4 linked regions of the Canis lupus familiaris genome follow. The protein of the gene in region 3 purifies or fractionates together with the protein of the main gene of each other region. This does not show direct contact. Links are inferred from orthologs where the notes say so. Each region holds a gene or a part of one and is shown on either strand. Other genes may lie near its edges.

Region 1 (8,015 bases), on a different chromosome or scaffold from region 3:
AGTTCCGCATCGGGCTCCCTGTATGTCTTTCATGAATGAATAAACGAAATCTTTAAAAATTTTTTTTTTAAAGATTTTATTTATTTATTCATGAGAGAGAGAGAGAGAGAGAGAGGCAAAGGGAGAAGCAGGCTCCATGCACCGGGAGCCCGATGCGGGATTCGATCCCGGGTCTCCGGGATCCCGCCCTGGGCCAAAGGCAGGCGCTAAACCGCTGCGCCACCCAGGGATCCCTCTTTAAAAATTTTTAATTAAAAATAAATTTTAAAAATATTTTGTAAATGTTTTCCTAGTTTGCAATATAGTTATTGTTTTCCCCAGTTTAATGTTTTGAAAATATTTAGGGCAGATAGAATAGTGTGATGAACATCCTATTGCCTGGATTCACCTGTTAACATCTAGTTTCATCTTTGTCCTCAAGAATATATTTTTTTGTTTTGCTGAGGCTTCTGTTTTTTGTTTTTTGTTTTTTAAGGTTTTATTTATTTATTCATGAGAGAGAGAGAGAGGCCAGAGACACAGGCAGAGTGAGAAGCAGGCTCCATGCAGCAAGCCCAACCTAGGACTCGATCCCAGGTTTCCAGGATCACACCCTGGACCAAAGGCGGCACTAAACTACTGAGCCACCAAGGCTGCCCTTGCTGAGGCTTTTGAAGAAAGTGATAGTCGTAATACTTTAACACTTCATTGTAAATTTAAGAATAAGACATTTTTCTCCATAACCACAGTATATAATAGTGTATAATGTACTTCTCCCATCTGCATACATCCCCAGTAGTCCCAAAATGTCTTTAGCTATTTTTTTTTCCCTACCCATTCTGGAATCCAATTAAGGTTCATGTATTGTATTTGGTTCTAGCTCTCCAGCATATCTAGAACAATCCTCTTGCCCTTTTTTGCTTGTTCTTTCTTTTCTTGATACTGGCTTTTTTGAAGATTTCGGGTCAGTTGTCTTATAGGAAGTTTGCTTCTTAAAGAGATGCACTAAAATTTACCATTTCCAGCATTGTTGCATGATAAAGTTGCCACCTTCCTGACTCACCCCAATTTTGACTGTTTGCTCAATACTTCAACGTTCTGGGATTACTAGGTAAAATACTTAAAAGTGTTTGGCTCTTCATTTTTATTTATTATTTATTGTAATCTCTAAATCCAACATGGGGCTCAAGCTTACAACCCTAAGATCAAGAGTCATATGCGCTATCAACTGAGCCAGCCAGGAGCCCCTGGCTTTTTTGGGTTTTGTTTTGTTTTCTTTGTTTTAGTCACTTGATACGTATTTTCACATCTCTTTTCAGAAGGTTTATATCATGTGATACAGTAATTGGATTTCACAGCCTGTCTCTTCAACTCCACCATTTTCCCCTCCCTATTAAAGATGGAATTTTAAAGGATTTGGGGACATAAAAATTTTTGCCAAAATCCTCTTTTTGCAGATAGCTAAACAATGTGCTAGTTCATGGCACCACTAGTGCTAGAAATGTGCCTCCTGGTCATTGAGTGCTTTCCTATTTCCATAATTGCATCACCAGTTTTGATCCATATCCAAAGATATGTTTAATGCAAAATTGTGCAGTACTGCTTTTGTTACTAATAATTGGAACTGTAAAGGAGGAGAGTTGTTCTACTACCAGTTCTTATGTATAAAGTGAGACTAGGACTACCTGCATTCTTTGCAAAGCATTGCACTATCTGCTGGGCATTGTTAATACATGAATAAGGTGGCTTTCAATGAAATTGGTAATGTATAAAGGACTGTGGGCTCTACCAGATTTCCTTGTGTAGTAAATTCCAGCTGCAGTAGTAATGTATTAATCATGTAATCAAAATTCCAGGGATACTTCAACAGCATGTTCAGACATTTTGGATCCTTTTGTTTTTCTTTCTTTTTTTTTTTAATGTATTTTATTTTCAAATATATTTTATTTTTATGTAATCTCTACACCCGGTGTGGGGCTCAGACTCACAACCCTGAGATCAAGAGTTGTATGCTTTTCTGATTCAGCCAGCCATGGATGCCAGATCTTTTTTTTTTTTTTTTTTTTTTTAATTTTTATTTATTTATGATAGTCACAGAGAAAGAAATAGAGAGAGGCAGAGACATAGGCAGAGGGAGAAGCAGGCTCCATGCACAGGGGGCCCGATGTGGGATTCGATCCCGGGTCTCCAGGATCGCGCCCTGGGCCAAAGGCAGGCGCCAAACCGCTGCGCCACCCAGGTGGATGCCAGATCTTACCTATTCCTGTTACAGTCCCTGCACTGTGCATTGAAGTTAGAATTAAAGGTGTACTGTTAATAGACAATAGGGCTAAATTAATGGCATTTTAGAACTTTGATGATCTGTTAAAATTTAATCAACTGTTTGTGGTGGGTTTTCCATTGCAGACTGGAAATAGTAAAGGCTATGCCTTTGTGGAGTTCGCATCTGAAGATGTTGCCAAGATAGTTGCTGACACAATGAACAACTACCTTTTTGGTGAAAGGCTTTTACAGTGTAAGTGCTCTTCTCTTACCATGGGACTAAGTGGACGCCTGCTGCTGGTTCATGGCTGTGCTGTGAATGACAGATTGCTTACCTGCTTGGCTGTCCCACTTCATCTCTGGGATGATTCTCCTAAGTATTTAAGTGCAAAGATACGAGTGCATTTTCTAGACAGATTCTAGTTAGAATTTTAAAATCTTCTAGAGTAAGAGCTGTTTTTATTCTAAGATGGAATTGGGACAAGGTACTACATTGGAAGAGCAGCCAACTCATCACTAATGGGATATGGAAGGCTTCCTTAAAGAAGCAACATTTAAGTTGAAATCTGAAGATGAGATAGGAATGAGCCGGGGGAAGGGAATTACCATCCCTGGCTTGGTGAGATAGGATATGCATAGCGGGAGGTAACTAACAGTACTTATTTGGTTGTGAAGGAATGTGAGGAGAATAGCAAGAGGTCAGGTTATTAAAGGCCTTAAAAATCTGGAAGTTTAGAATATATCCTGGGGGTAGTGGGAAGCCATTAACAGGTTCTAGATAAGATAACATTATAAAGATGGGGCACCTGGGTGGCTCAGTCAGTTAAGCATCTGCCTTTAGCTCAGGTCATGATCCCAGGGTCCTGAGATCAAGCCCCACATCTGGCTCCCCGCTCAGTGGGGAGTCTGCTTCTGTCTATACTCCTCACCTCCGTCCATGTTCCCATGCGTGCATGCACACTCATCTCTCTCTCAAATAAGTAAAATTTTTTTTAAAAAAAAAGGATAACATTAAAAGCAAGAAATCACATTTGAGAATCCATCTAAATGATATTGGCTGCAGCTCTTCCACAGGCGAAGCCATAAGGAGTAGAGAAACAACACCAAATTAGTCTATCCTGCAGAAAGTGGAGCTGCTCACTTTGCATTCCCAAAGCATCCCTATCTGCAATTGGGTGCCTCTGGAGGCAGTTAAGTTTGCCTTCTCTGTGCCATTTGTGGAGTGTTTGACCATACCACGTGCCCAAGCCACACACGTCAGTTCATGTAGCTGACGAGCTGCCCAAGTATCATCTCTCTCTCGGTTCCTGTTGCTGTGACAGAGAATCCCAGTAGCCTCATTGAGGTCATGGGTTCATTTCACACATAGAAAGCATGGCTCTTCCCAAGAGGAAATGGACTAAATAGGTGACCTAAAATGTGTCAAGGGTCCACATGGGTAGGATCGGTGCTGTGCTGTTTCTGACTTTGAAAAACCACAGAAAAGATCCTGAACTCTGATAGGAGGTTAGCCACATTGTCTTTTTCTTTTTTCTTTTTTTTTTTTTTTTTTTTTTAACAGAAGTGACATATTTTTGAGGTGAGCCCAGGAAAATACTGATAGGGAGTAGAGAAGTGAGACAGAAGCATTGAGGGTGGATTAGCAAGCACATTACTTCTTAGGCAGCTGGGCTCCATCCTGCCAGGTAACACGGGAGACAGAATTATTCCGAATTGACAGGTAAGGGAAATAGGGAATTTACCTACCAACTCCCCATCCGTCATTGTTTGAGGGTTGATGCCAAGGGTTTTGGCCTGCCTTGCATATGGGCCCAGTTCCTAGTAGTTGGTTTAAGCTTCCATAGCTTAAAAGTGCCACTAAGAAGAGAGCTGGAGATAAGCAGTAAGCTGGCTTAGTTCTAGAGAGGTATGCAGAGGAGATTAGCTGGGAAGTAATTCCTTCTGCTACAGCAGGTCACACAGCCTGAGATCCTGGTAGCTTCAGGAATCCCAGAGACTTGCCGCCACCAAGACATTTCTTTTATAGGACTCATCTTGTTCGCTAACCTGTTTCTAGCTCCTGGAACAGTTCTTGGCATTTAATAAATAGATACTTAATGATAATTGTTGGCTGTAAGCCTTTCTTTTAGATTCCCATTTTGTTGTTTCAGTCTTTTCCCTGTAAATGGGAGACATGTCCTCTTGATTATGATATGAGGGGAATGACAGTGGTGAAAACCTTAAAATCTTCCAGTTGGTTGAAAATTTTTTCTTTCTTTGAACTATAGGTCATTTTATACCGCCTGAAAAAGTACATGAAGAACTTTTTAGAGAGTGGTATATTCCATTTAAAAAGCCATCATATCCAGCAGTGAAACGGTATAATCAAAATCGGACACTTCTTCAAAAGCTACAGATGGAAGAACGTTTTAAAAAGAAGGAAAAATTACTCAGGAAGAAATTAGCTAAAAAGGGAATTGATTATGATTTTCCTTCACTGGTAAATATTCCTTCACGAAATGTTTTTGTATTTTTTTCTTGGGGGTGGGTTTTGTGCCTCATTAGTTGTAACATATTTATGGTTTTATGCATAAATTGTCTAGCCCGGTGTTTATCCCATGCTAGGCTTTGCCTTAATTTTGAAACATTACATTATGGGTTCTTTTTTTTCCCTAAAGATCTTCTTTGAGAGAGCACAAGTTGGGAGGGCAGGAGGGAGATGGAGAAGCAAACTCCCTGCCCAGTGGGGAGTCTGCTCTCTTCCTCTCCTCCCCTCTCCCTACTCAAGCTCTTTCAAATGAATAAATAAAAATTTGTTAGAACAAGATCCTGTTAACTCCATTATGCAGAAAAGGAAACCATTGAAAGGGGTTAGCTCATTTGCAAAATTCTCATGATTTGAAATATATAACAAGACGACTTGCATGAAAATGAGTTAGCACAGAGTTTTATCCAGTTCTTAGTTCCTTGCTTGTTGAATAAGGAGACCTTGTGGAGTCTTTCCTCCTCGTCATTAGTGGAGGAGAGCTGTGTGGTTTTTACTGCAAAGCAAGAGTATAGGTCATTAAGGTGTGGACAATATAGGTGAAGGCCTTTTTTCTTCCTTGACTAAGTCTTGAGATTGATTTTGAGTCTTCTATACCTCTCAGCTTATTTCCAAAAAACTACTTAGTTGGTGGGAGATGGCATCTATTTCTGAGTTTATTAGATCTTTTAACCTTATCTAGCAACTGGAAATTTAGCTACCCTCCCTGGGCCCAGTTCCTAGTAGTTGGTTTTTTGCTCAAATCTGTACGTGTGAAAAGAGCATGTGTCACTGTTCCAGGGACCCATGGGAACCACGTGGGAACTGGGACAATGAAGCTGGAAAACAGGCATGCCAGAAATGCCTCTATGCTTGCCCATTTGCTGCTTTGTGTGGAAGCAGCCCTGCTTCATTATCTAATTCTGAATTTGGGCCCCATTCAGCCTTCATAGCCTGAGCCCATTCCTTAGTTAGGCCCCTCTTACAGTTTTGCCCTTAAGGTTGTGGTTTTGCTTTTTAAGTTAAAATGCTGTGTTATTTGGAGAAGATTTACTGATAACGTGTAAGGATCTAATGGTAATTTAAAAATATAAATATGTGAGACTACCAGTTCATTTCTTTGTTTAGATTTTACATAAAAAGGAAAAAAATGCTTCAGACACTGGTCTTGAGAAGCCTACAGATAGCCAGGTAAAATTTTAATTATCATACTACATGCCAGATTTATTTTTGTATGTTTTTTTATTAGAGTTCAATTTGCCAACATACAGTGTATCACCCAGTGCTCATCCTGTCAGGTGCCCCCCTCAGTGCCCATCACCCAGTCACCCCATCCCCCCGCCCACCTCCCCTTCCACTATTCCTTGTTCATTTCCCAGAGTTAGGAGTCTCTCATGTTTTGTCATTCTGTGATTTTTCCCACTCATTTTCTTTCCTTTCCCCTTTAATCCCTTTCACTACTTTTTATATTCCCCATATGAATGAAACCGTATAATGTTTGTCCTTCTCCGATTGACTTACTTCACTCAGCATAATACCCTCCAGTTCCATCCACATTGAAGCAAACGATGGGTATTCGTTTCTAATGACTAATATTCCATTGTATATATAGACCATTCTTTATCCATTCATCTTTCCGATGGACACCGAGGCTCCTTCCACACTTTGGCTATTGTGGATGTTGTTGCTATAAACATTGGGATACAGGTGTAGGGGTTTTTTTTTTTTGTTTGTTTGTTTTAAGGTTTTGTTTATTCATGAGAGAGACAGAGGGGGGCAGAGACACAGGCAGAGAAAGAAACAGGCTCCATGGAAGGAGCCCGACATGGGACCCAATCCTGGGACTCCAGGATCACATCCTGGACCAAAGACAGACGCCTAACTGCTGAGCCACCCAGGCATCCCCTACATGCCAGATATTAGGGAAAGATAAATGGGAAAATAGATTCAAGATTTATTTATTGCTGATAAATAGGCAGATTGATGAAGTTTCTCTCTTAAAATTTATTGAAGGTCTTGCCGAAAAAGAAGAAGAAGAAGAAGAAGAGTTCACGTACTACTACCACTCCTGAGAAGACCGTGGATAGCCAGGTAAAACAGTCTATAGTATGCTGGGAAATGAGGTATTACAGAAATGATTTGAAAGAGGAAAAGCTGGGGCACCTGGCTGGCTCAGTTGGTAGAATGTGGGACTCTTAATCTCAGAGTCATAAGTTCAGGCCCCATGTTGGGTATACAGATTCCTTTTTTTTTTTTTTTTAGATTTTATTTATTTATTCATGAGACACAGAGAGAGGCAGAGACACAGGCAGAAGGAGAAGCAGGCTTCATGCAGGAAGCCCGATGCAGGACTTGATCCCGACCCAAGCCAAAGGCAGATGCTCAACTGCAGAGCCACCCAGGCGTCCCTAGAGATTACTTTTAAAATAAATTAGTAAATAATTCTTCTAAGATTTTATTTGCTTAAAAGAGGGAGACACAGGGCAGCCCCGGTGGTGCAGCGGTTTAGCGCCGCCTGCAGCCCAGGGCATGATCCTGGAGACCCTGGATCGAGTCCCACATCAGGCTCTCTGTATGATGCCTGCTTCTCCCCCTGCCTGTGTCTCAGCGCCTCTCTCTCTCTCTCTCTCTGTCTCTGTCTCTGTCTCTCTGTGAATAAATGAATGAATAAATAATCTTTAAAAAAAAAAAAGTTCATTTAAAAAAAAGAAACGGGATCCCTGGGTGGCTCAGGGGTTTGGCGCCTGCCTTTGGCCCAGGGCACGATCCTGGAGTCCCGGGATCGAGTCCCGGCATGGAGCCTGCTTCTCCCTCTGCCTGTGTGTCTCTGCCCCTCTCTCTCTCTCTCTCTCTCTCTCTCTGTCTATTATAAATAAATCTTTAAAAAATAAAAAAAATAAAATAAAAGGTAAAAAATAAATGAGGTGCTGAGTGAGCCACAGTATGTTGTGGATTTGATTGTCACTCCTAACCTGAGACCCACATCTGCGGTCTTGTGCTAACTTTTCAACCCTAGATACTTAGGATGCACCTCTTTAAAAAAAAAAAAGAAAGAAAAAAGAATAAAAGAGGGAGACACAGATATGAGAGACAGAGAGTGAACACAAACATTGGACAGCACACACCCCACCCCACCCCTGCCGCCACCAAGCGGGGAGCCCCAAGTGGGGCTCCATCACAGAGCCCCAGGGTCATAACCTGAGCTAAAGGCAGGGACTTAACTAAGTGAGCCACCCAGGTACCCGTATTAAAAAAAAAAAAAAAAAAGGAA
Region 2 (8,015 bases), on a different chromosome or scaffold from region 3:
AGTGGTGGTCGGCACAAGAATAAGTTTGCTGAGAGGACAATGGATATACGGAGGAGAAAACATTCCAAGCAGAAGGGAAAGACATCAGAAAGGCACAGAAGTGCATTTGCACAGTCTTTATTAGAGCTTGAAAATAAACTGAGGAGAAGCTATGCCATAGTCATGATTGCAGAACTTTTCACTGTTTGCTCCATCGATAAAAAATGTTTGCATATTTGTAAATTTAACATGCTACTGTTCCTATAATTATGAACACTATAAAAGGTTAAAAAAAATCTCAAAAATGGAGATTTTTGAGAAAGTGACTCCAGCCTGGGGCAGAGAAACTGTGAATTGAGGATGTGGTTCTAGAAAGCGAGGAAGGACACAAAGAAAAATGGGGTTATGTCAACAGGACAAAAGAGACAACTGGAAAAGGCTCACGTGGACCAAATTTGGGACAATTCTGGCATCAGGAAACAAGAAGCTGTAAATGATTATAAGACATAATCCAAGGTGTTAATTAGAAGAACAAAGAATCCGTGTGTGCATGATATGAAGGGATATGTGAGAGACTGCAGGGCAAGCGGCAGGCCTGGAAAGAGCACAAAAGCCTCACCTTCTGCATCTCCTCCATCTGGCTGCTCCTGCTCCTGAGTTATATCCTTTCATAATACACTAGTGACCTAGCAAGTGAACTCTTTTCCTGATTCTGTGAGCTGCTATAACAAATTAACTGAACCTGAACAGGGGTCCATGGGAACCTCTGATTCACAGCTGATAGGTCAGAAGCACGGGTGCCAACATGGACTTGCCACTGGTGTATGACGATGTCTTGTGGGAACTGAGCCTTTAACCTGTGGAATCTGATGCTGTCTCCAGACAGCGTCAAAATCACGTTAAATTGTAGGACACCTAGGCAGCCCCAATGGCCCAGCAGTTTAGCGCTGCCTGCAACCCGGGGTGTGATCCTGGAGACCCAGGATCGAGTCCCATGTCAGGGCTCCCTGAATGGAGCCTGCTTCTCCTTCTGCCTGTGTCTCTGACTCTCTTTCTATGTCTGTCATGAATAAATAAATAAAATCTTAAAAACAAAACAAAACAAAAAAAAAGAAAGAATAAATTAAAAAAAATAAATTTTAGGAGACCCAGCTGGTGTTGGAAAAGCTTCTGGTGTACGGAAAACCCCCAACACACACATTTGATGACCAAAGGTGTCAGAAGTAGTGTGTGAGAGTGAAGGAGACACACAGAGGTGAGTCTTTCCCTAGGTAAACCTACCTTCTGTGTGAAAACATTTTATAAGCACCTTCAAAGATCCTTGGTTAAAGTAAAAAGGAACAGGATAGGATATGTCTACTCAAGTAAAAACAAAAAAGATATCACACACACACAAAAAAAACCCCAAAACAACAAACAAACCAACCCACATCTTTAGAATAATTAGCTACAGCCAGTAAGTAACAAAGACAGCTCTGCAGGTCTCCCCTGCTGGACTCCAGGGGCTGCAGGATTCCCTGTGCTATCTGCAGGGCTGGGTCAACTGACTCATCATGTGTTAAACACTCTTGTCAGCAGAGGGAGCAGAGGAGGTTTCCGAGCTATTCCTCTGTGGGCTAGAATGGAAACCATCTGCGATTGCTTACTGGAGCCCCTTTGCATGACACAGGTAGGGACAGGTCATGTGGCATTCACTCTCAAGGGTTTGACAGAAGTCATAATCACATTAAAAACACATGCCACTTCCTTTAAAATAGCTTTAACGTTTCAGTTGCAGAGTTCTACAATCAGGAACAACCATCAAAATGAAATGAGACTTCTTCCTCAATACAAAGAGCCGGTATATTTCCCTGAATACAAACAAAACAAAAACCAAAAATTAAATATAACACTATCAGATGGAAGTACAAATTATAAACTACATATTCTATAAAAGCTATCGTACATGTAAGCTGCTGGACCTGGAAGGTTTTTGCAATTGCAGATGTCACTAACTATAGAAGGAATAAGAAAAGCTCAGAAATGGGATCTGATATTCAGAACGCAAGAGAAAGCCTAAGTGGTACAGAATACATTTTAAATTACATTACTTATTCAGAATTACAAAAGTAATACAGCGAAAATGGTTAATGCATACATACACGAATGACTTGGCCACCTCCAGGCCAATTCCCTTCACAGCATTTGTCAAGGTTATGATACTCGGACCACGGAAAGCAGACACCTGGCGGGGAAGGACACTTACTTTTTGGCAAATCTCCAGTGCTGGAGGCTGAAACCGTACGGCTTCTGTCATGGGATGGACTGCTTTCCTCAGGCTCGGTAAGTGGGGATCCCTCGGAAAGTGCAGAGCCACAAGCCACAGGTTCTAAGGGCCCAGAAAACAATGATGTGGAAAACTCTGGAAACTGTGACTCAGGAATTTTATGCCGTCCATTTGGCAATTCACCATTGAATTGTTCATAGGAGCTGCTATATGTGTAATCACTTTCTGCATTTGGCTCATCGAGGTTATATTCCTCAGGATTTGGGCAATCTTCTTCTTCATCGTCTTCATCATCCAGCTGCTGTTCCAGTAAGAACGGGCCATTCTCAATATGGCCATTGGTTTTGGGTGATTCTATCCAGGCAGGGTCTGCATTGGTCAATTCCTGTTCAACATCATCTTCATCCTTCTCAGTGTTTTCTTTCTCGGTGTCTTCTTTCTCTTCCTGGTCCTCAGCCTCGCCTTAAAAAGTTGATGGGTTAAGAATCAGAATGCGTTACTCTCCTTAACACAGTGGCACTAGGTACATATTTCCTCCAACAAGGGACAATTTTGAGTGGGCTTAATTTAGGGTTATTTTTCTCCCTCAAATAAGCTCAACCCCCAATGTGGGGTTCAACCTCACAACCCCAAGAGAGTCACATGCTCCACTGACCGAGCCAGCTGGGCACCCCCGAATATGCTTGATTTATGTACTACAAAGCAAAGCACCTCTTGGTTCTCAGGGTAAGATCATAGGTTTTCTAGATCTCATTTTTTCATTCAGTAAATAATTGGCTAACTCTTATTAGAAAAAGTTAGATTTGGAGGAAAATGACTCTTTATAGAGTTGCCTTTCTACTTCTACCCTCTCTTCTACAATCTTCAGAAAATGTCTGTGAATACACTACTATTAGGTTAAAGGTTAATTAAAAAATAAAGAATAATCATTAGTATGATTGAGACATGGTGTTAGACATTTTCCATTTTTTAAAAAACTGTTTTAAAATACTAACATATTTCTGGCATTCGTTTTACAAATGAAGTGGCAGACGGTTTCCCATATTCCCCAACCACAGCCTATGTGGTGACCCAGCAGGTGCTCACTCAGGAAGCTCCAGGACCCCGTGCAGACTGACCGTTGTCATTCACAGGCTCGCTCTCAGCCGCATCCTCTAAGCCGGCAGCTTTCAGTTTGCCCTCTGGGCGGTATTCATCGTCTTGTTCATTGGAAGGTACTGCTGATGTGATGTTTTCTTCTATTATTTTCCTTTCGGCTTCTCGCTCCAATTCTTCTATCTCCTGCAGGCGCTTTTCCAATAACTCAGCCTGCCTTTTCTGCTTCTTTTTCAGTTTTTTCTTTTTGTTCTTAGATATTTTTCCTATCTACAACATGGGAAGAAAATACCACAGGTCAGTCTGCTTCTTTTTAAAGCACTCCACAAGACTACCTGTGCTAGCAACATGGCAAATAACAACAAATCATGTTTCCTCAGGTCTTATTCATTAAGACCAAGTCCCCATGGATCCCTGGGTGGCGCAGCGGTTTGGCGCCTGCCTTTGGCTCAGGGCGCGATCCTGGAGACCCAGGATCGAATCCCACGTCGGGCTCCCGGTGCATGGAGCCTGCTTCTCCCTCTGCCTATGTCTCTGCGCCTCTCTCTCTCTCTCTCTCTCTCTCTCTCTGTGTAACTATCATAAATAAATAAAAATTAAAAAAAAAAAAAAAAAAAAAGACTAAGTCCCCAGACAGGAGACCCACCTTGTGGTTAGGGTTACAATAAAACCAGAAAAAAAAAAAGAAACCAGTGCTGCCTTACATCAAGTAGGGGGCGACTAGCAGTCCCTGTCCTTAGAGGGACACAGCTCCAATTCAAGAAGTCCACTTCAATTCAACTCTAAGAATGGAAAATGCTCAGATACCCCGGCCTTTAAACAAGAAGCACCCCTTGCAAGTTTTATTGCTGCCTATCTACAAACCAACAGTATCACCTCTCCTTAATGTCTTACCCAACTACCTGCCATAAAAGAAAGGCCTGCCAGCACAGGTGTACTGCCTTCATGGTTGGTCAACAGTAATGCTGGTGTTTGAGTCTCACACAACGAGCTGGGGTCAACAGCTGGGACTGCAGAAACTGTCAGCAATGAACATATGAAGTAAAGGAAAAAAAGAAAAAGCCACAGTTTCAGTCAGCCTCCTATCAGGGCCACATGACTGGGAAAGTGCTGGCAATGACAGCCTACAGTCTTTCCATAGAATCAATAATCAAAACAAGCTGCTCAAACCACAGCAGGACTGTAGGCAATGATTCGGCTCCTCAGTAAGCCAGGTGGCATAATTATTACAACTCCCTCTTGTACTGGGACTTTCATTCCAAAGTGAGGGCTGCTGGCAGCACTCTGAATTTCTCGACATTTCCTTTCAAATGCTTCTGGTTCATAAAGCTCTTTCAAAACTTGTAGGTGACTCATCAACTCAAGATATATATATATATACATATATATATATTCATTCTATCCTCTACTGGAACTAAACAGGTTTAGGGACATCAGGGTAAGTTTTAATTCCAAGCAACTTGTTTCATATGACTGGACCACAAAACAGACAATACTCTTTTCCATATTTAACTAGTGGCTAGGAAAACAAATTAGAGTACAAGCTTCAGAAAAATGGGTATCTTGGAGGCAAATCAGAAATAATGTTAAGTGTTTTGTAAAAATCACACTTCGAACTCTATCTTGATCATGTCACATTTCACCAGAGTCAGCTAACAGCACCCTAGAAAGTGAACAGGGAAAATGAAGATCCAGCTTGGAAAAGCTCTAACTATTCCAACTCTAAAAATCACTTCAACTTATGAAAACAGTAAGCCTCATATATTCAAGGATACATAACATTTATCAACATGCCCATCTTTTACATCAAGATGGATTAAACATCTAAATTGAGAACATAACAAAAAAAAAAAAAAAACAAAAACAAAATCCATTTGCCCAAACAATCTTAAATGAAAAACTGTGACAGAGAGAAACAGAGACTAACGTTACAACTTGAAAAGCTCAATAAGGAACAGTTGCTTTTGACGTGAAGGTGAATATAAGTGTATGTGTAAATACTTACAGGTTTTTGTTGTGGAGCCGTACTCACTAAAACAAAATGAAACAAAATGAATGTTTAGAGGAAAATAGATCTGTATCTTTATTAGGTAATCTCAATTGTAAAATGAAGGTAATCATTGCCTTTTAATGGCTATCCAACTTCAAAACTGTTAAAACTACAGAGCTTCTTAATCACAGAGATCTGAAGAAAGTTTATCCATCTCAAACAAATGACTGGCTCTTCAAAGGCACAGAAGTAGTTGTTCATTGGGCCACTTCCCTTATTTATCTAGAATTAAATACCCATTCATTTCAAAGAGAGTCAATACCAAAGCATTGACTGATAACTTAAGAAAATGGGTAAGAGTTCACAAATATCACATAGTCATCTAACCAAATTTATTTTATAGACAATAAAATGATGAATGTAAATTAGGAGATGCACATCTATGTTTGAAAACTCTTTGGCAAGTCTATACAGCAGAAATAAATACTCTAGAAGTCACATGACCAGTCTTTGCCAGCTTGATTGACCATAGGTCTATGATCTAAAAAAACACCCTAAAGGTAAAAAACAAGACTAGGAGGTAGTGCGCAGCTCCCAAGAGTCCTGTCAGTCACAGGACTTCAGACCCTAAGTCTGCACACTTGCCGGACAATGCACTAGGGTGTGGATAACATGAAGAGATGAGGAAAGTGGTCAACATGTTACTGTAGCCGTTACACTCCATGGAAGCCAGATAGAAAACTCTATATATAGAAAACTCTATAAACTCAAGGTATCTGGCCTTCTCCCACCCTTGGGTCTTTTGTAACTAATTCCAAATTCACCAGTTAGACTCAGATTGATGTAGACTAACTGGAGACAAGGAAGCATTCTAACAAACCTAAAACCGGAAGAAAATTCTGATGACTATAGGTCAGCTACAAGCAAGCTGTTACCATGTACACCTTCACAGAGAAGTGTGCAGGCGATGAAACAGCTCGTAGGATTTCAAATGACTGTTTAAGGGAGGACAAAGTAACTCAAATATTAAAGCATAATTTAATTGGGGCATCTTTTTAAGACCTTTTTAAGAGAAAGGTCTTATTATTTCTAGCTGTCAGACTCTTTCAAAAGTTCTTAACAAGTATTTGACTCAACTGCTTTCAGTGTGCAACTCTGCTGGCTCTCAATGCCCCCAAACAAATTGAAACAAAGCTGGCTTAGCTCCTCACCTGCAGACCCGGAAGGAGGAGGAGCACCTGCTTTCTGCCACTCGGTGGCCTCGGCTGCCATCCTTCTCACATATGCATCATCCACACACATCAAGATGTTCTCCGGCTTTATGTCAGTATGAATGATCTTGCACTTACTGTGTAGATAATCTAACCCCTGGAGGACCTGGTCATTGTAAAATCAAGAGAAGAGAGGAGTTATTAATACCTTCACTGTTCAACATTTGTAAAAATAAGTAACATAATCACAAGGCACAAAATAAAATTGACACAAATTTCTAGTAAAAATCTCCCTCCTGCCCCCACCCTCACAGGAGCCCAGCATCTTCCCATAAACAACCAATGTGCATCATTCTGGAGATTCTTTATGTTCATGGAAGCAAATGCATCTATACACATACTTATGTTTATAACGACTTTATTGAGATGTAATTTACATACAATTCATCCTTTTAGGTGTACAATTCGATGGTTTTTAGATATCCACCATCACCACTACATAAATTAGGACATTTTCATCACCCAGAAAAGACAAAACCTACCCAATGGGAGTTACTCTCCATCTCCTCCAGCTCCCCCAGACTGTGCAACCGCTAATCTACTTTCTGTCTCCACACATTTGCTGGTTCAGAATATTTTATATGAATGGAATCATACAGTCTCCTAGAACAGGCATGATGTTTTAAAGGTCCACCCAAGTGTAGCATGTACTTCTGTTCTTTGAACTGTCAAATAATGTTCCACCGGATATACTCTATTTTGTTTAGCCTTTCATCTGATGGATATTTGGATTGTTTCCCCTTTATGGTTCCTACAAACAATGCTGCTATGACCATTAATGCAGGACTTTCTGTGTAGACATACGTTTTTACTTTTCTGGAGTGTATACCTGGGAATACAATTATTAGGTCATATGGTAACTCTTGTTTTATACAGTGGCTGCATCATGTCACATTCCCAGGAGCAAATGCAAGGGGGTTCTAGCCTCCTTGTCATGGCCTACACCGTTCTCTGTCTTTTTTTTAGTCACCCTAGTGGGTATGAAGTGTAACCTGCGTCTCCATGAGGTCTAATGATGTGTATACATTTTTAATACTGCAGGAAAGGAGGAGTAAACAGCTATGGAATCCAGATCACAAAACCTCATTAACTCAAAGAAACTGCTGAACCAAAATATCCATGAAAACAAAACCCACAAAATTTACAGAGTGCAGTGACCACAGTATATCTGAAATTATTTCCACTGGAGAGGAATTCTTTCAATTCTTCCCATGAACAAAAATATGTTTTTAAAATATTCCCAAGTTCCTGTACATCAGAAATTCTATATGCTCAATAAACATTAGCATTTAATAAATCTCATCATACACTGTAAATCATTTAGGGGTCTTGTCCACAACAGACAAGGAAGTGGGAAAAAGACAAGCAGTAGGATATATAATATGTATTTCCCACTCTAGAAAGTTCTCAGCAA
Region 3 (8,015 bases):
CTCCCATCCCAGCTTGCAAGGACTAGGCCAAGACTTCTCAGCCAGCCCCCACACTCACTCTTAGCCCCACCCCACCCCCAACACCTCACCTTGTTAGTCTTCACGGCTGGGTCTTTGGAGATGACCCCAGTACCACTACAAGGAGCATCCAAAAGTACTCGGTCAAAGCCCCCCACCACCTGGGGAAAAAGGCTAGGTTAATTAGGTGTTTTTGGTGGTCCTTATCACACCATTATTTTCCAGGGGCAAGTTTCAATACTGAAGTCAAGAAGGGGACAGGCAAACTAGAAGACACACAGAGGGGAGCCACACCTTGGGGAACTGGCGCCCATCGTAGTGGCTGATGATGGTGTTGGTGACTCCCAACCGGTGCAGATTACCCACGACACTCTTGAGCCGCTCAGCATTGGCATCGTTGGCAAGAATCACACCTGTGTTCTTCATCAGCTGGGCTGAAGGGAGAGAGGCATGGTGCTCACCAGCCAGCCACCCTCCAGCCCCAAAATGTGAAGTGGTGAATTCCCACCACTTCAAGGCAACTTTACTGTGAATAGGCCTCCTCCCCATGGTCTACAGGACAGATCTAGACCTGCACCCTCTGATGAGTAAGACTGCCAGTGTGGTTTTTTTCAGTTACCAAGCATCTTTTTGGTCCTCCAGACTAACTTACTTAAATGATAATAGCTTAATAAAATGACTATAACTAGCTATATGCTGAACACTTTGCTAAGGACTTCTAAAACATAACTTAACCCCGACAATTCAAGTATAATATAACTGCCAAGCCAAGCACAGTTGCCCCATTTCACATAGTAAGACAAGACCAGAGGCTTGTCCGTGGTCATATGGGTACTTAGTGGCACAAGGGGCTGGAACCCAGGCCAAATCCAGAGTCTGTACTCTTCACTTTTCTGCTAGTTGCTTGTGCACTGTTTTCTTGAGCACCAGAGAGTCAACGACCTCATTTACTTAGAAAAGCAGAGAGCCAGATGGCTCCTACCCTGGCCTGCCTTTCTCATACCTATGTAGCTAGTCTTTCCTCCAGGGGCACAACACATGTCCAAGATCCGTTCGTGTTCTTGGGGTGCCAAGGCCATGACCGGCAACATACTGGAGGCTCCCTGAAGCATATAGTACCCAGCCAGGTACTCGGGGGTAGCACCTGTGGAGGAGGACCAGTCAGTGACATGCTGGGACAAGGGCAGGGGCAAAGGGGCTATCGGGCAGGGGATACTTACCAATGGGCACAGAAGAATCATATACCACTAGTCCAGTCTTTGACCACTTGCCCAGAGGATCCAGGTTAACTCCACGGTTAATTAGTGCCTGAAAATAAGAAAGATAAAGATTTTATAACCTCGTAGGCTACCATATCCAGAAAACAGGTGGAAATATAAAAATATGGTTCTACTGAGTTACAACACAATCATAGACTCTTTGCAGCCTCTCCTATATCACCCATGACGTCCTTTCCCTTAGCCTTAGGCTCTAACTCAAGGCCTGAACTCTATCTGAATGGAGCAGACTGCCAGCTCCTGTCCTTTGGTTTCCTGGAACTGAACTCTGATGTTCCAGTAGGCTCAGTCCCCCTTACCACTATAAAATATAACATCACCGGCTATAGCACATTAAAGATAAGGATCAGGTAGGTTACATTCACACCAGGAAGACTACACACAGGGTCCTGCCAGTGACCACAGGACACCAGTATTAACATACAGCCCCTGAACCCTCTAAAACGGTGAGTTTAAAATACTGTTTGTGCATGTGTGGGGGCAAGAATCTGTTTCACCAGCCCCTCAATGATCTAAAAAGCAGGTAACTCCCATTTTGTTCTGAGGCAGCAGAACTTTAATCCTGATGCAGCATCTCAACCCTGTCACAGGGAGCACAAGCTGAAGGGACAAGTTCTCACTTCAGAGTTCCCGGGCCCCAAGCCAGTCAGATAAATCCAGTATGACACTAGGCCTACCTGAGTTTGCCTTTGGATCATGCCTGACCAAGAAATGCTTAGGTACTAACAGCCCACTCCTCAACCCCCATCTAAGTCAGATAGGGGAGTCTCTGCAGTTAAAAGTCAACAACCCCCTGAGATACAGAAAACAAAAATCTCAAAATCCATCCCTTACCTGAGCGAGGTCTCGACGTCGGGTTTTCAAGGTATTGGTCCTGAGGGTGATGGGCCGAGGCACCTCATTAGCTTCTAAGAACTCCACCAGCTGGGAAAGCAAAATGGCAGGGAGCAAGTCAGGCTGGCCAAGGAGCTTAGCTGGAAGAGGAAAGAGGAAGGAGGCTGCCCTCCTCACACAAGGTAAGATTGAGAGGTTGAGAAAAGAAAAGAAGGGGCATTAGATTAGCACTTCAGTACCTCAGACAGAGGAAAAAGGTCCATAAGCTTGCCAAGTAGGAAGTCTCCATAGGAGTAATAAGTAGCCAGATCCTTCTGAAGCCGGTGCAGATACTCAGAACGAGACCGACCTTCCTCCCGCTGAGTCCCAAAATCACGCAGCACTCCCACTATATCCTGGATGCGCTTGTGAATCCGTTGCAAGTCTGGAGCCTGGGCATGTGGATGTGTTAAGGAACTGTAACTGTTTCATGATGTCCAGAGCCTGGAAATTTCCTCTCACAAGCACCTTTCCCCTACCCCTCACCCAGCACTGGAAGGATATCCTGCTCCATCTCCCCAGGAAGGGGCAGCACAAAGGACTCCTCCTCATCCACATTGATCTGTAGGCCCCCCTCTGTCTCATCATCCTTTTGGGGGCATGACTGAAGGGACCCTTTCTCCTCTTCCTCCTCAGTCTCCTCCTCACTCCACTGGCCCCTAGAAACAGGTTCAGAAACAAGGATTCACAGAATAAAACAGACACCAGCTCCTCCCTCAATTCTTTCACCCCAGCTGTTGCCTGGTCTCCATCTTAAGAGTTTCTAAAACTTACCCAGCCACAGCCTCCTGAACCTTTTGCTTCTGAGCAGCCCTCTCAATGGGCAGCAGCTGAAAAAAGAGACAAGGGGCTAGTAATGCAAAGCCTACCCTCCTACCCTCCCAGGTAGTATTTTATCTCTGTATTTTATCATTTCCTAAACGCAAAAGTACACTCTCAGAAGCATGGAACCTAAAGAAGTGAAATGTGAGATTGGTACAGTATTTTTTTTAAAGATTTATTTATTTATTTATGATAGACACAGAGAGAGAAAAAGAGAGAGAGAGAGGCAGAGACACAGGAGGAGGAAGAAGCAGACCCCATGCCAGGAGCCCGACGCGGGACTCGATCCTGGCGCAGGACTCAATCCCAGGACTCCAGAATCGCGCCCTGGGCCAAAGGCAGGCACCAAACCGCTGAACCACCCAGGGATCCCCAGATTGGTACAATATTGACCATTGTTGCAACTAAGTAATGGATCAAGGGGTTTCACCAAAACCGTTCAACTTTTGTGTGTAGTTCCCTTCTCCTTAAAAAGTTCAGAACCTGGGGCATGCCTGTGTGGCTCAGTTGGTTGAGCAGCTGACTCCTGATTTCAGCTCAGGTCAATGATCTCAGGGTAGTTAAGACTGAGAGCCCCACTCAGGAGTCTGATTCTCTCCCTCAGCCTCTCTCCCTGCTCCCACACATGCATGTGCTCTGTCTCTCAAATGAATAAATTTTTTTAAAAGCTTTTATTTATTCATTTGAGAGAAAGAAAAAACACATGCACATAAGCAGGGGGGAGGAAGAAGCAGACTCCCCATTGAGCAGGGAGCCTGACGAGGGACTCGATTCCAAGATCCCAGGATCGTGACCTGAGCCAAAGGCAAAACTTAGCTGACTGAGCCACCCAGTGCATCTTCAAATTTGTTTCCTGCCCTTTCTCAGTCACAGATCACCAGCACTTTCATAGACATAATAGCCAAATGTTAACTTATTAGTTAGTTATAAGCTTCTTTATACACTTTATAACTTAGTGTATAAAGAAATTAAAATTTACTTAAGCATATTGGGTATTTTGGCAGCTTCCAGAGTTTGGAGCATTATAGTCCACAGGGTGCCTGCAAATCTCCTGATAGTAACTCTGTAGAGAAAAGGCAGTCTAGGAAAAAGGTGCAAATGTGAACTTTGTTTTCATCAAAAAAAAAAAAAAAAAAAAAAAAAAACCACCACCACCACCAACCACCTTGTATCACCTGAGTTTTCCTAACATATTCATATACTAACTGTATAATAATACATAAAGAACCCCTCCCTTTTTAAAAGTAATCCCTATACCCAACATGGGGCTTAAACTTACACTCCCAAGACCAAGAGTCCCATGCTCTACTGACTGGCCAGCCAGGCAATCCTACATAAATAACTTCTTACACCCCAGTCAATAAATCTGTCCATACTCTGGATCCTCCTCTGAAACAGAATTACTAGGTCAAAAGGAAGAAACTCTCCAAGGTTCTCAGACACCAAATGCTTCACTAAAAAACTATGTACGCTCTCTATTCCCCTCAGTGGGGCACTCAAGTATCCACTTGACCAGGTCCTCACCAGCACTGAGGAGTCTCATATTTCAAAATGATCAATCCTACAGCTTTTCTACACTTTTGTGTGCATTGAGCAAACACAGATGACAGGAAAACAATGATGGAATGCTAAAACCCCTTTTCTCTACTCAGCTCATCCTTGTCACTGAGTCTCAAGGACCCGGAAAGACTAAAAGGCAAGGATCCCTTCCTCAAAACCCACAGAACTAAAGCTCACCTCTTCATCTTCATCCTCGCCCTCTGAGTCGGAGTCGGCGCCGTAGTCATCTATCATATCAGCATCACTGTCCTCAGAGCCCCAGAGGTCCTCCTGGTTCAGCACACCATCCTCTTCAGAGTCTTCCTCCTCCACCTCTTCCTCCTCACTGCTATGGGTCAGTGCTGGACGCTTCTTGCCTTGAGTACCGTGATGCAAGGGCTGGGCTCCCTTCTTGCCAGGTGTCTGGACAGCTCCTCCAGAGATTCCTAAGGGTTTGAGGAATTCTGGACTGACGGCAGCCACACGCTGATGGAACCTACACTTTCTATTCCTAAAGATGTCCTGTTTCTTTCTCTCCAGAAATGCCCAGCAAGGCCTTCCCTACCCAGAACCCAGCGGACTCGTCATAGAGCACACAGCTCCTATACTCACTGACCTTTGGGTAGTTTTCCAGGCAATGGTTTGGCCCCAGGGAACTTATGCATCGCAAGGGATTCAGCAGAACCCAATCTCCTCTTGGCTGCCCTGAAAAGAAGTGAGGAAATGGAACATACCTCTGGGCTCTGCCACTGAAATGGGACAGTCCCCAAACAGCCCTTTCCACATGTGATCATGGGACTAAAGATAAGCAGTACCAATTTAATCCAGATAAACCTGCACAACCACACTCACCTCTTCCGAGCACGACTAGATAGCCTCTTAGAATTTTCATCACCAGCTGTATTTAAAAAAAAAAAAGAGAGAAGCAGAACAATAGGTTACAGGGAAAATGAAAAAGAACATTAGAAGAGAGGGGTGCCTGGGTGGCTCAGTGGTTAAGCGTCTGCCTTCGACTCAGCATGATTCCGGAATGCCAGGATGGAGTCCCACATCAGGCTCCCCGCACATAGCCTGCTTCTCCTCTGCCTGTGTTTCTGCCTCTCTCTGTGTCTCTCGTGAATAAATAAACATATCTTTAAAAAAAAATTAGAAGTGAAAATAAATGTAGAGAAAGAATACACTAATTAGGGGCATCTGGATGGCTCAGTCTGCTGAGCTTCTGCCTGTGGCTCAGATCATGATCTCAGATCTCAGGGTCCTGGAATTGAGCCCTGAGTTGGGCTCCCGGCTCAGCAAGGAGTCTGCTTCTCCCTCTTCCTCTGCTATTACCCCTGCTTGTGCTCTCTCACTCTGTCAAATAAATAAATAAAATCTTACAAAAAAAAAAAATACACTAATGAAAGGGAGTAGATTCTAATTCGTTCCACAGAGCTTTACAAGGAGCTGGATGAGAGATGTAAAAGAGATGATCTGTATGTGGTTGTTCATCAATCAAATCCAAACTGGGCCTCCCTCCAGACTTTTTTTTTTTTTTTAAATAAATTTTTATTTATTTATGATAGTCACACAGAGAGAGAGAGAGAGAGAGAGGCAGAGACACAGGCAGAGGGAGAAGCAGGCTCCATGCAGGGAGCCCGACGTGGGAGTCGATCCAGGGTCTCCAGGATCACGCCCTGGGCCAAAGGCGGGCGCCAAACCGCTGCGCCACCCGGGGATCCCTCCCTCCAGACTTCTGATTTCAGTAAATAGTATTACCATCATTCTGGTAACAAGAGAGATTCAAAATTAATCTTTTCTCTCTGGCCTTGGACCTGGTTTGCTGCAACATGGCTAAACCCCCCAAGAAGGTCTGAATTGGGGATGGGATGATAAATATGGAGTAGCCTGTGGTGCTTGGACCTATACCACCACTTCTGCTGTGGCAGTCAATTCTGCCATCAGAAGACTGAAGGAACTGAGGGACCAGCAGAAGCTCCACCATCTGAAACACTGCTGGTCTATAACAAATGGATTTATGTGACAAACAAAACTGTCTTCTCTTCTGTTTTTTTTTTTTTTTCTTTTTTAGGATTTTATTTATTTACTCAGAGACAGAGAGAGAGAGAGAGGCAGAGACACAGGCAGAGGGAGAAGCTGGCTCCACGCAGGGAGCCCGATGCGGGACTCGATCCCGGGACTCCGGGACCATACCCGGGACCGAAGGCAGACGCTAAACTGCTGAGCCACCCAGGGATCCCCTCTTCTGCTTTCTTTTATTCTCAATTTAATCAGTGACCAGCCACAGATTTTACCTTAGTAACTAGTTTTCCATACATTCTCCAAAAAAATAAAAGGCTTAAATGCCAGCCCTGTCATTTGCAAATGCCCAAGCTACTTAACATTCATTTCCTTCAGGATGTCTCTTTCACAAAGCACTAAGAGAATGAGGTGACATAACATGTCCAACAGATTCAGTATAGTGCCTAACACTTTTGAAAGATTTTAGAGGGAGAGAGTGTGCATGAGCAGGGGGAGGGGAAGAGAGAAAGAGAATCCTCAAGCAGACTCCCCGCTGAGCAAGGAGCCTGATGCAGGGCTTGATCCCACAACCCGGAGATCATGACCTGAGTGGACATCAAGAGTCTGATGTTGGGATCCCTGGGTGGCGCAGCGGTTTGGCGCCTGCCTTTGGCCCAGGGCGCGATCCTGGAGACCCGGGATCGAATCCCACATCAGGCTCCTGGTGCATGGAGCCTGCTTCTCCCTCTGCCTATGTCTCTGCCTCTCTTTCTCTCTCTCTCTGTGACTATCATAAATAAATAAAAATTAAAAAAAAAAAAAAAAAAAAAAGAGTCTGATGTTTAGGGCAGCCCGGGTGGCTCAGTGGTTTAGCGCCGCCCCGTCCAGGGCCTGATCCTGGAGTCCCTGGATCGCGTCCCACATGGAGCTCCCGGCATGGAGCCTGCTTCTCCCTCTGCCTGTGTCTCTGCCTCTCTCTCTGTGTGTCTCTCATGAATAAATAAATAAAAAATCTTAAAAAAAAAAAAAAAAAAAAAAAGAGAGTCTGATGTTTAACCGACTGAGCCACCCGGGTGTCAGTGCTAGCACTTTCTAGTATCTCAAAAACCTGCATCTTTTATCTAATGCCCAACACAAACTACCTGTCCACTCTTCTGTCATCCCCAGCCTTCCATGCCATAGATTATTCACCATATGGGAATCAGATCTGTGCCTTCCCATGCTCACCTCCTCCACAAAGCAGTTGATGTGACTGGTCTGTTCCCTTCCCAAGTTCCACTTACTAAAACGTCAACCATTTTCCAAAACCCAGATTAAAATCTTTTTAAACTCGAAATGCGTAGGTCCTCTAATAACCTTACTCAGTATTAACCTAGTATTAACCTGTACCTCTTGTTGCATGGGTACTTGGGTCCCTGCTGCATCTTCCCTAATTTCTAAGTGCTGATGACAATAAGTGTTTCATTCACACTTGTTTTTATTTTTTTG
Region 4 (7,450 bases), on a different chromosome or scaffold from region 3:
TCCACTTGTGTCCTATTCAAATTTTACTTCCAACCTGACCACCTGCACTTTCTTGTCCCTCTTTCATCTTTGTTGGTGGATTCTTTTAATAGCCTATTTTTGTAAAATATGGGTCTCTGGGAGACCAGCCACATGCACACACCCTCTTGGCCATCTGTGCATGAACTGAGCAAGATGTGCAGTGACCTGCCACCCAGGCTCTTGCAGGGATGGCTGCTCCCTGGTTATGCATCTGTTATTTTGGTCATGATTTATGGACTGATTTGTGGAGCTAGCAGTAAAGTTTCTACTTTCTGCCCTTACTCAGAGTTGATAATACTTGGGTAACTGAAACGTGAAGTGTTGCTGAGAAACTGCTACCGCGGGAATGGAAATCCACCCAAAGCAAGAACAGCCTATCTTTGGTGCCAGGAACTGCCGGGTCCCCATCTGGGTCCCCACCTAGGTCTTGGTGCCTGGGGTTGCGATATAATGCAATGGGAAGGTTAATCCTGCCTGCACCCTGGTGACCCGGTGAGGGCTGACATGGTAGAGAGGTGACATAAGTGACTTCTACAAAGTATATCTATCTCTGAAATTAAGGAAAGGGATTCCATTTGCTATACAAGAAAAAAAAAAAAAGAAGGAAGGTAAGGTACACAGCTTTCAATGTCTTTAAAAGTGCTGGCAGTAATGACCTACACTTGGCCTTGCTGGTATGAACTGTAAACTTGTGTTCTCCTTTCCTAAAACTCTCAATGTGTTCCACACCTGACCCAAACTCTTGAACTGATTCTGAGGCCCTTTCTTTGAATTCCTATACATTACCCCCACCCACTTAATATTGTAGATTGTCAAAAATAGGTCAGGGTAACACGTTTTGGTCTTCTGAAAACATGACCTGTTTGCTCGGAATTTTGTTAACTGAAATTACTTTACAAAACCTAAATTCGTTCTTTTTGTACTAGAATCATAGGGAACCAGAAACGTCCTTTCTTTATATACCAATGACTCTACAAGAAAGGAAACAATGGGAAAATAAATTATTTTTTCTGCTTAAGAATATACAGTTCTCAGATATCTCTAGTCCTTAATGTATGGTTTCTAAACTGTAATGGAGAAAGGAAGGGCAGGTAAACAAACTTCCCACCCTATCAACAGAATAAAACCCAACATGCAACGTGACCTGCCCATCCATGTCCTACCTATTCCTGGCTTCCAGCCAGAATCGGAGTACCTCTCAAATAGGTACCACTAAGGCTCAGACATTATGGAAAGCCCCCCACCAAAATAATTCCAAGCAGGTAAAAACTCTTACTATATGGCAGGCAATGTTCTAAAGCATTTTACACGTATTAACTCACTTAATATTGACAGGAACTGTATTTGGTAGATTATTCTCACTATACAGAGAGGACATAGCACAGAAAAAATAACACGCCCAGGGTCACACAGCGAAGTAGCAGAAACAGGTGTTAACCCAGCAGTCTGGCCCAGCCAGTGCTCCTGACTTCCATACAGCTCAACATGAAAAACGGGGATCAAAATGCACAGGGAGGGGCTGGAGGAAACCCAAGGAAACAGAATGAAAGGAACAGAATAACTCTCAAAAAACGAAAATCATAATTCACATTCTGAGGTGAAAGAATAAGAACTCTTGGGGATAAAATGTAAAATGAAAGCTAAATATTCACTGAATGATTAGAAAAAAAGAATCAAAGAAATCTTTTCCCTAAAGTGGAACTAAAACACAAACCTAGAAGATCATCAGAAGAGGTTCAAAATTTGACTAACAAACTCCAGAATTAGAACAAACAAACAACAACAACAACAACAACAACAACAAAATAGGGAGAAGCTATCAAATAAAATTTGCCAGAACAAAAGATCTAGCATCCTTCCAAACACCCTAAGCAAAGAAATAAAACAGGCCCACGCCAAGGCAGGTCATCATGGAATTTCAGATCGCTGGGAGAGGAAAAGCTTCCAGAAGAGAGGGAATGGCAGCAACTTTTCAGTGGGGAGGCTATGCCTACAACATTCTCAGGACAACTCCCACCAGCCAAACTAAAGGCAACTGCAGAGATGTGTAGGAGATCCCTTCTAGGAAGATACTAGAAGATGGTACATGGCAAAAGAAGGCATAATCTAAGACAGAAATGGGATCCAGGAAATAGTGAGTTCAATCCAGATGGTCTAGAAGAGGCAGGGTGAGAGCTGTTATGACAGACAGGAAACTGTAAGGTGGAAAGAATGACATGTGTCTAAGGAAAAATAAGGATATACAAGGAAAATCAGGCACACAGAAAAATATGAGGTGATAATTAACTCAAGGAAAACCCACAGCTGTATCACAAAGGAAATTTTATCATAGTACACGTAGCTTGACAGTGATGGGTATTTAAATAATCATAATGATACGATCACTCATTCTTGACTTATCTAGAATCGTGATACAATTACTTAGAAGCATGAGGAAGGTGCAAGTTTTCATATATCATAAAAAAAAAGACGATTTGGACTCAAAGTCTAAATTATCGTCAATCAATAGCAATCCTACTTAATATATAAAAGTAACTTCTCCATCTTTTTTTAGTCCTGAGTTTTTAACCATGATTGTGTTTCTTTGAAAACTGTTTATTGAAAGAACTTTTTACAAAAAGAAACCAACACAAGAGATCCAACTGTATGCTGAAATCCCAAGTTTGCAACCCTTTTTCTTGGTTCTTTGTATACAAAGATGCTGCTTAGTGTGGTCTGCTCTTCATTTTCTCTCGTGTCCGTTTTCCTGGTCTCTTCTACGGAAAAAGAAATAATAGCACATGTGGTCACAAAGCAGCTTGGCCTTCTGCCCCAAGGACAGGAAGATGCGGGTAGAAGTGGGATGGGACCCACGGCTCACTTACATTTGATCCTTTCTTTCCAGGCCTCTTGAGGCCCTTGCCATGAGCTGTCTTGGCCCGGAAGCTGGATACATCATCGTAGCTCTCACGAGTGTTCCACTTGGAGCCTTTCTTCTTTCCACCAAAACCAAACTTCTGGTTTTTATAGCGTCGCTTAGCGCTGGGCCTAAAAAAAGCAGGCTTACAAGTTACCCACAGCACTGCAAATCCTGATGGATCTTATGGCCCATCAGTATCCTTAGTTTCCTGTCTATAAGCAAAAGCTCTTTGCTTAGAGCTAGACGCTACTGCTACCCAGAATCTCGTCCTCAACCCTGCATTCTTAACTCTTAAAAACTCCCCAGGCAAGCTCATCCACTTATAGTTTTAACCACTAGTGCAAGAAAACAAAGCAAGAACCAGGAAAGGATCCACATAGATCTTGCGGCTCAATACTTATCTCTAGAAAGCTTCTTCTATTCTAACTAACTCTTGCTAGATCATTCTTAGTCGTTTCTATTCCTTTCGAGGGTAGTACAGGCAGTTAACATTCAAATGTAATAAATTTTAAAACTGGTCATTCCGGAGAATCTCACATTCAGCATATCCAAAATCACATGCCATCTCCCTTTCCCACACTGGTTTCGCCTTCCGTATATAAACACCGACTTGAGGTTGGTGGTCCTACCATCTATTCCAGCCTCCCGGGCTAGAAACCTGGGCACCAGCCTTGATTCTTCCTCCTTTCACTCTCTACACCCAACACAATTACTGAGTGCTGCTAATTTATTACTTCTCAAATGTTTCTTCGACCTGTTTTCTCTTCTCTGCCCCCATTACCACTTTTAGCCCATTATCACTGCTCTCTGGACTTTGTAGTGCCCCTTTATTGAATTCTCTGCCTCCCTCGAGTCCACACTATATACAAGTACCACCGTAATTTTTCAAATACATGACTATGATGTGGTCATTATTTTGAGTGCTTTACTCAATCAATGTCTCTCCCATGGCCTACTGGCTAAAACCCAAACTTCTTAACAAGGCACACACTGCCTCTGTGACTTGGCCCAGACCCCCCTCCAGCTACATCTCACCTCTCCTTGCCCCACACTGAACTCCCAGCAGTACCAGATCCTTGCTGTTCCTCATGCACAAACCTGTTCTCATCTCTACGCTTTTGCTCATTTGTGTTCATTTTTGCTGAAACCTGTGTCTCTCCTATTCTCCTGGTTAATTCTTGCTCATCCTTCAGACTAAGCTCAGGTGGGGCTCTCCTCCAGGGAGCCATCCTCACACCCTGATCCCCAGAACGGGTCAGCTATTTCTAAAATGTGCTTCTACGCTACTCCTTACATATCTTTATCATGGCATTAATATATTCTACTGAAATTATCATTTCTCCCAGCCCCAGTGTCTAGGGATACATAAAGGTAAACTAGAAAGAAAATAATAATATCCGCCATTAGCCCTTTTAAGTCTGCATAATGCTATGCAGGCATACACTTTTCTCATTTTCACAGATGAGGCAACTAATATTTAGAAAGGGCAAGTAACTGCTGGGGATTTACCCCAAAGATACAGATGCAGTGAAATGCCGGGACACCTGCACCCCGATGTTTCTAGCAGCAATGTTCACAATAGCCAAACTGTGGAAGGAGCCTTGGTGTCCATCGAAAGACGAATGGATAAAGAAGATGTGGTCTATGTATACAATGGAATATTACTCAGCCATTAGAAACGACAAATACCCACCATTTGCTTCGATGTGGTTGGAACTGGAGGGTATTATGCTGAGTGAAATAAGTCAATTGGAGAAGGACAAACATTATATGGTCTCATTCACTTGGAGAATATAAAAAATAGTGAAAGGGAATAAAGGGGAAAGGAGAGAAAATGAGTGGGAAATATCAGAAAGGGAGACAGAATATGAGAGACTCCTAACTCTGGGAAACGAACAAGGGGTGGTGGAAAGGGAGGTGGGCAGGGGGTGGGGGTGACTGGGTGACCGGCACTGAGGGCACTTGATGGGATGAGCACTGGGTGTTATGCTATATGTTGGCAAATTGAACTCAAAAAAAAAAAAAAAAAAAAAAAAGGCAAGAAACTTGCTCAAAACTACCCAAAATGGTGGACTTTAGACCCTAACCCTAGGTCTATACACTTAACCATTGTGCTGTGAGATGAGGAATCTACTTCTACTAAATATTCACTTAAAATGTGCCAGATGCTTAAATCACCCTACTTTAGTTTTTTGTTTTTTTTTTTAAGTAAGCTCTACGTCCAACGTGGGGCTTGAACTCACAGCCCCAAGATCAAGAGTCAAATGCTCTACTGACTGTGCTAGCCAGGCGCTCCCTAGATCACCCTACTTTAATCTTCTAAGACTGATATGGCTAAAAGGATCCATCACATAGGCCTTTAGCCTTGGCTGCAGGTAGCACTGCGCTCTCTCAACCCTGAGGCCACTCCTATGGTCTCCCCAACTTGCCCCTGGACTGCCTGCCCAGTACCCACCACAAAACCAAACCAGAATCCTTCATACCCCTTCTTCATCTGCTGGCTTTTTGCTCCTTCCTTTGTTTTCCGTGCAACGGGTTTCTGATCCCCCTCAAGAAAATCCAGTTTATCAGAAAAGCCTGGGGGTGAAAAGGTACTTTGATCAGCATTAACACATTTTAAGAAAAACTGAAGCTTCAAAAGAAGGTTGTTACTTAAAAAAAAAAAAAAAAAAAGGTGGTTACTTGCTAAATTAATTTAAATTTTTTTTTTAATTTTTTTTTTTTTTTTTTTTTTTTTTTATGATAGTCACACAGAGAGAGAGAGAGGCAGAGACACAGGCAGAGGGAGAAGCAGGCTCCATGCACCGGGAGCCCGACGTGGGATTCGATCCTGGGTCTCCAGGATCGCGCCCTGGGCCAAAGGCAGGCGCCAAACCGCTGCGCCACCCAGGGATCCCGCTAAATTAATTTTAAGAGGCATATTCTGCTCCCCACACTGTTCCCAAACCTTAGGTCCAATGGTTCCAAATCAATCAAGGCTCTAGAAGCAGGATATGTTAAAATAGCAGCGGCCCCTGCTCCCCTATATCCTTAGAAGGGAGATATACTGACCTTTCTGATATTTCTTAATGGCATTCATCATATGTGTTTTCTCTCGCTGCCTCTTCTGAAGAACCTCTGTTTGCACCTGGGACATGAACATAGGGCTGTCACACCCACTCCAGACCACCATCATTGCAAGTGTCTACATCCGCTTGGTAACACTATGCTAACACCGCGGCCACTTAACATTTACTGTGTGCCAGAACTATGGTAAAGCTCTAAGTGTATTCTTAGTTTATCTTCTCAGCTACCCCATGAAGCAGAAATTCCTAACACTCCCTGAAATTGAAGCACAGAGAGCCTAAGTAACTTGCCTGAGTCACACAGCAAGAAAGTGTACAGCTGAATTCACACCCAGGGGTCTACACTCTTACCTGATTACACAATTCTGCCTACAAAACCATAGCAAGTCACATCTAGATCTACAATCAATTCTCAGGTTCTGTATCTAGCCCCTACTGTTAGTAGGCATGAAAGTATCAACAGAAACAATCCCCCCAAAAAACGAAAAGCAAAACAGTTGTAAGGATAAAAACAGATGCTTCCATTCGAAGGCAGCGTTTTCAATCTCAATACTATTGATAGCTTGGACAGGATCACTCTTTATGGAGGGGTGGATGGCCTGTCCTGGGCACTGTAGGACATTTTGCAGCCTCCCTGCCCTCTATCCACTAGATCTGAGTAGCTCAGTCCCCATTGAGATGTGACACCAAAAATATCTCCAGGCATTGCTGAATATTCCCTGCTAAGCAAAATTATCCCCAACTGAGAACCACTGACATGATGTTTCCTCAAATTAGAAGCAGTGAGCTAACAGGCCCAAAGGAAGTTTTTCTTCGCCTTTGATCAATTAGGTTCCGTTACTACCAACCACTTAGGCCCTTGAGTTGACCTCAACCATCAACTACCAGATCAATCCAATAAATGCAGAGCTGCCCTTCTGCAGAGAACAGGATGCTAATCTACTCTTACTCTGCTGAGGACTTGTCAGTGAAATGACTCCAAATGTGGACAGCAGCACAGCACCCCAGATCATGAATGTTTATGTCCAAAAATGCTGACAAAGTCTGAACACTCATGTTGATCCTCCTTACACTCACTTCTTCCCACTACCCTGACTTTAATTCCTGTCATCGTCTTTCCCAAAGAACCATGAAATAAAGAGGAAAAACCAAGGACACTTTCCCTAGATTTTAAATTAGAACTCAGACATCCACAGCAGTTCAAGCACACAGGTGCCATTTGTCCTCTCACTTGGATGACAATCAATGATATGGTTCCTTCAAAGACTTAACAAACATCTAGGCCAGCGATTCTCCAAAGCAGGATGCATTTCAGAATCATGTAAAAAGTTTTGCGGGGAAGAGAAGACAATACCTGCAGATTCCCTGACACCCTGAAGCCTAGAAATCTGTTTTGAAAAATTTTCCCAGGTGGTTTTGCTGTAGAGTGGGGTTTGGCCCCACTGATTTGAACCCAACTCTTCAC

What was found. Proteins that work in one complex are often made in the same cells at the same time.
Region 1: the proteins of NOP2 (region 3) and NIFK fractionate together in Homo sapiens (co-fractionation; 3 studies listed by BioGRID, with this or other methods). This does not show direct contact. The link is inferred for Canis lupus familiaris from reciprocal best matches to the Homo sapiens genes NOP2 and NIFK.
Region 2: the proteins of NOP2 (region 3) and SRPK2 purify together in Homo sapiens (affinity purification with mass spectrometry; 3 studies listed by BioGRID and IntAct, with this or other methods). This does not show direct contact. The link is inferred for Canis lupus familiaris from reciprocal best matches to the Homo sapiens genes NOP2 and SRPK2.
Region 4: the proteins of NOP2 (region 3) and EBNA1BP2 fractionate together in Homo sapiens (co-fractionation; 3 studies listed by BioGRID and IntAct, with this or other methods). This does not show direct contact. The link is inferred for Canis lupus familiaris from reciprocal best matches to the Homo sapiens genes NOP2 and EBNA1BP2.

What each region holds. Positions count from the first base shown.
Region 1 is NC_049240.1:29,903,630-29,911,644, forward strand, and holds part of NIFK (MKI67 FHA domain-interacting nucleolar phosphoprotein), read left to right. Parts: intron 1-2,385; coding exon 2,386-2,494; intron 2,495-4,508; coding exon 4,509-4,720; intron 4,721-5,872; coding exon 5,873-5,935; intron 5,936-6,757; coding exon 6,758-6,835; intron 6,836-8,015.
Region 2 is NC_049239.1:15,495,124-15,503,138, reverse strand, and holds part of SRPK2 (SRSF protein kinase 2), read right to left. Parts: intron 6,708-8,015; coding exon 6,542-6,707; intron 5,372-6,541; coding exon 5,346-5,371; intron 3,611-5,345; coding exon 3,364-3,610; intron 2,708-3,363; coding exon 2,225-2,707; intron 1-2,224. UniProt on the Homo sapiens protein: Serine/arginine-rich protein-specific kinase which specifically phosphorylates its substrates at serine residues located in regions rich in arginine/serine dipeptides, known as RS domains and is involved in the phosphorylation of SR splicing factors and the regulation of splicing.
Region 3 is NC_049248.1:7,644,955-7,652,969, forward strand, and holds part of NOP2 (probable 28S rRNA (cytosine(4447)-C(5))-methyltransferase), read right to left. Parts: intron 5,428-8,015; coding exon 5,382-5,427; intron 5,235-5,381; coding exon 5,146-5,234; intron 4,976-5,145; coding exon 4,728-4,975; intron 2,999-4,727; coding exon 2,943-2,998; intron 2,828-2,942; coding exon 2,673-2,827; intron 2,569-2,672; coding exon 2,369-2,568; intron 2,220-2,368; coding exon 2,130-2,219; intron 1,327-2,129; coding exon 1,239-1,326; intron 1,163-1,238; coding exon 1,022-1,162; intron 707-1,021; exon of another isoform or gene 453-706; coding exon 313-452; exon of another isoform or gene 244-312; intron 180-243; coding exon 90-179; intron 1-89. UniProt on the Homo sapiens protein: S-adenosyl-L-methionine-dependent methyltransferase that specifically methylates the C(5) position of cytosine 4447 in 28S rRNA. Required for efficient rRNA processing and 60S ribosomal subunit biogenesis.
Region 4 is NC_049236.1:17,083,570-17,091,019, reverse strand, and holds the end of EBNA1BP2 (probable rRNA-processing protein EBP2), read right to left. Parts: intron 6,048-7,450; coding exon 5,972-6,047; intron 5,498-5,971; coding exon 5,404-5,497; intron 3,049-5,403; coding exon 2,886-3,048; intron 2,778-2,885; coding exon 2,727-2,777; 3' UTR 2,327-2,726; downstream 1-2,326. UniProt on the Homo sapiens protein: Required for the processing of the 27S pre-rRNA.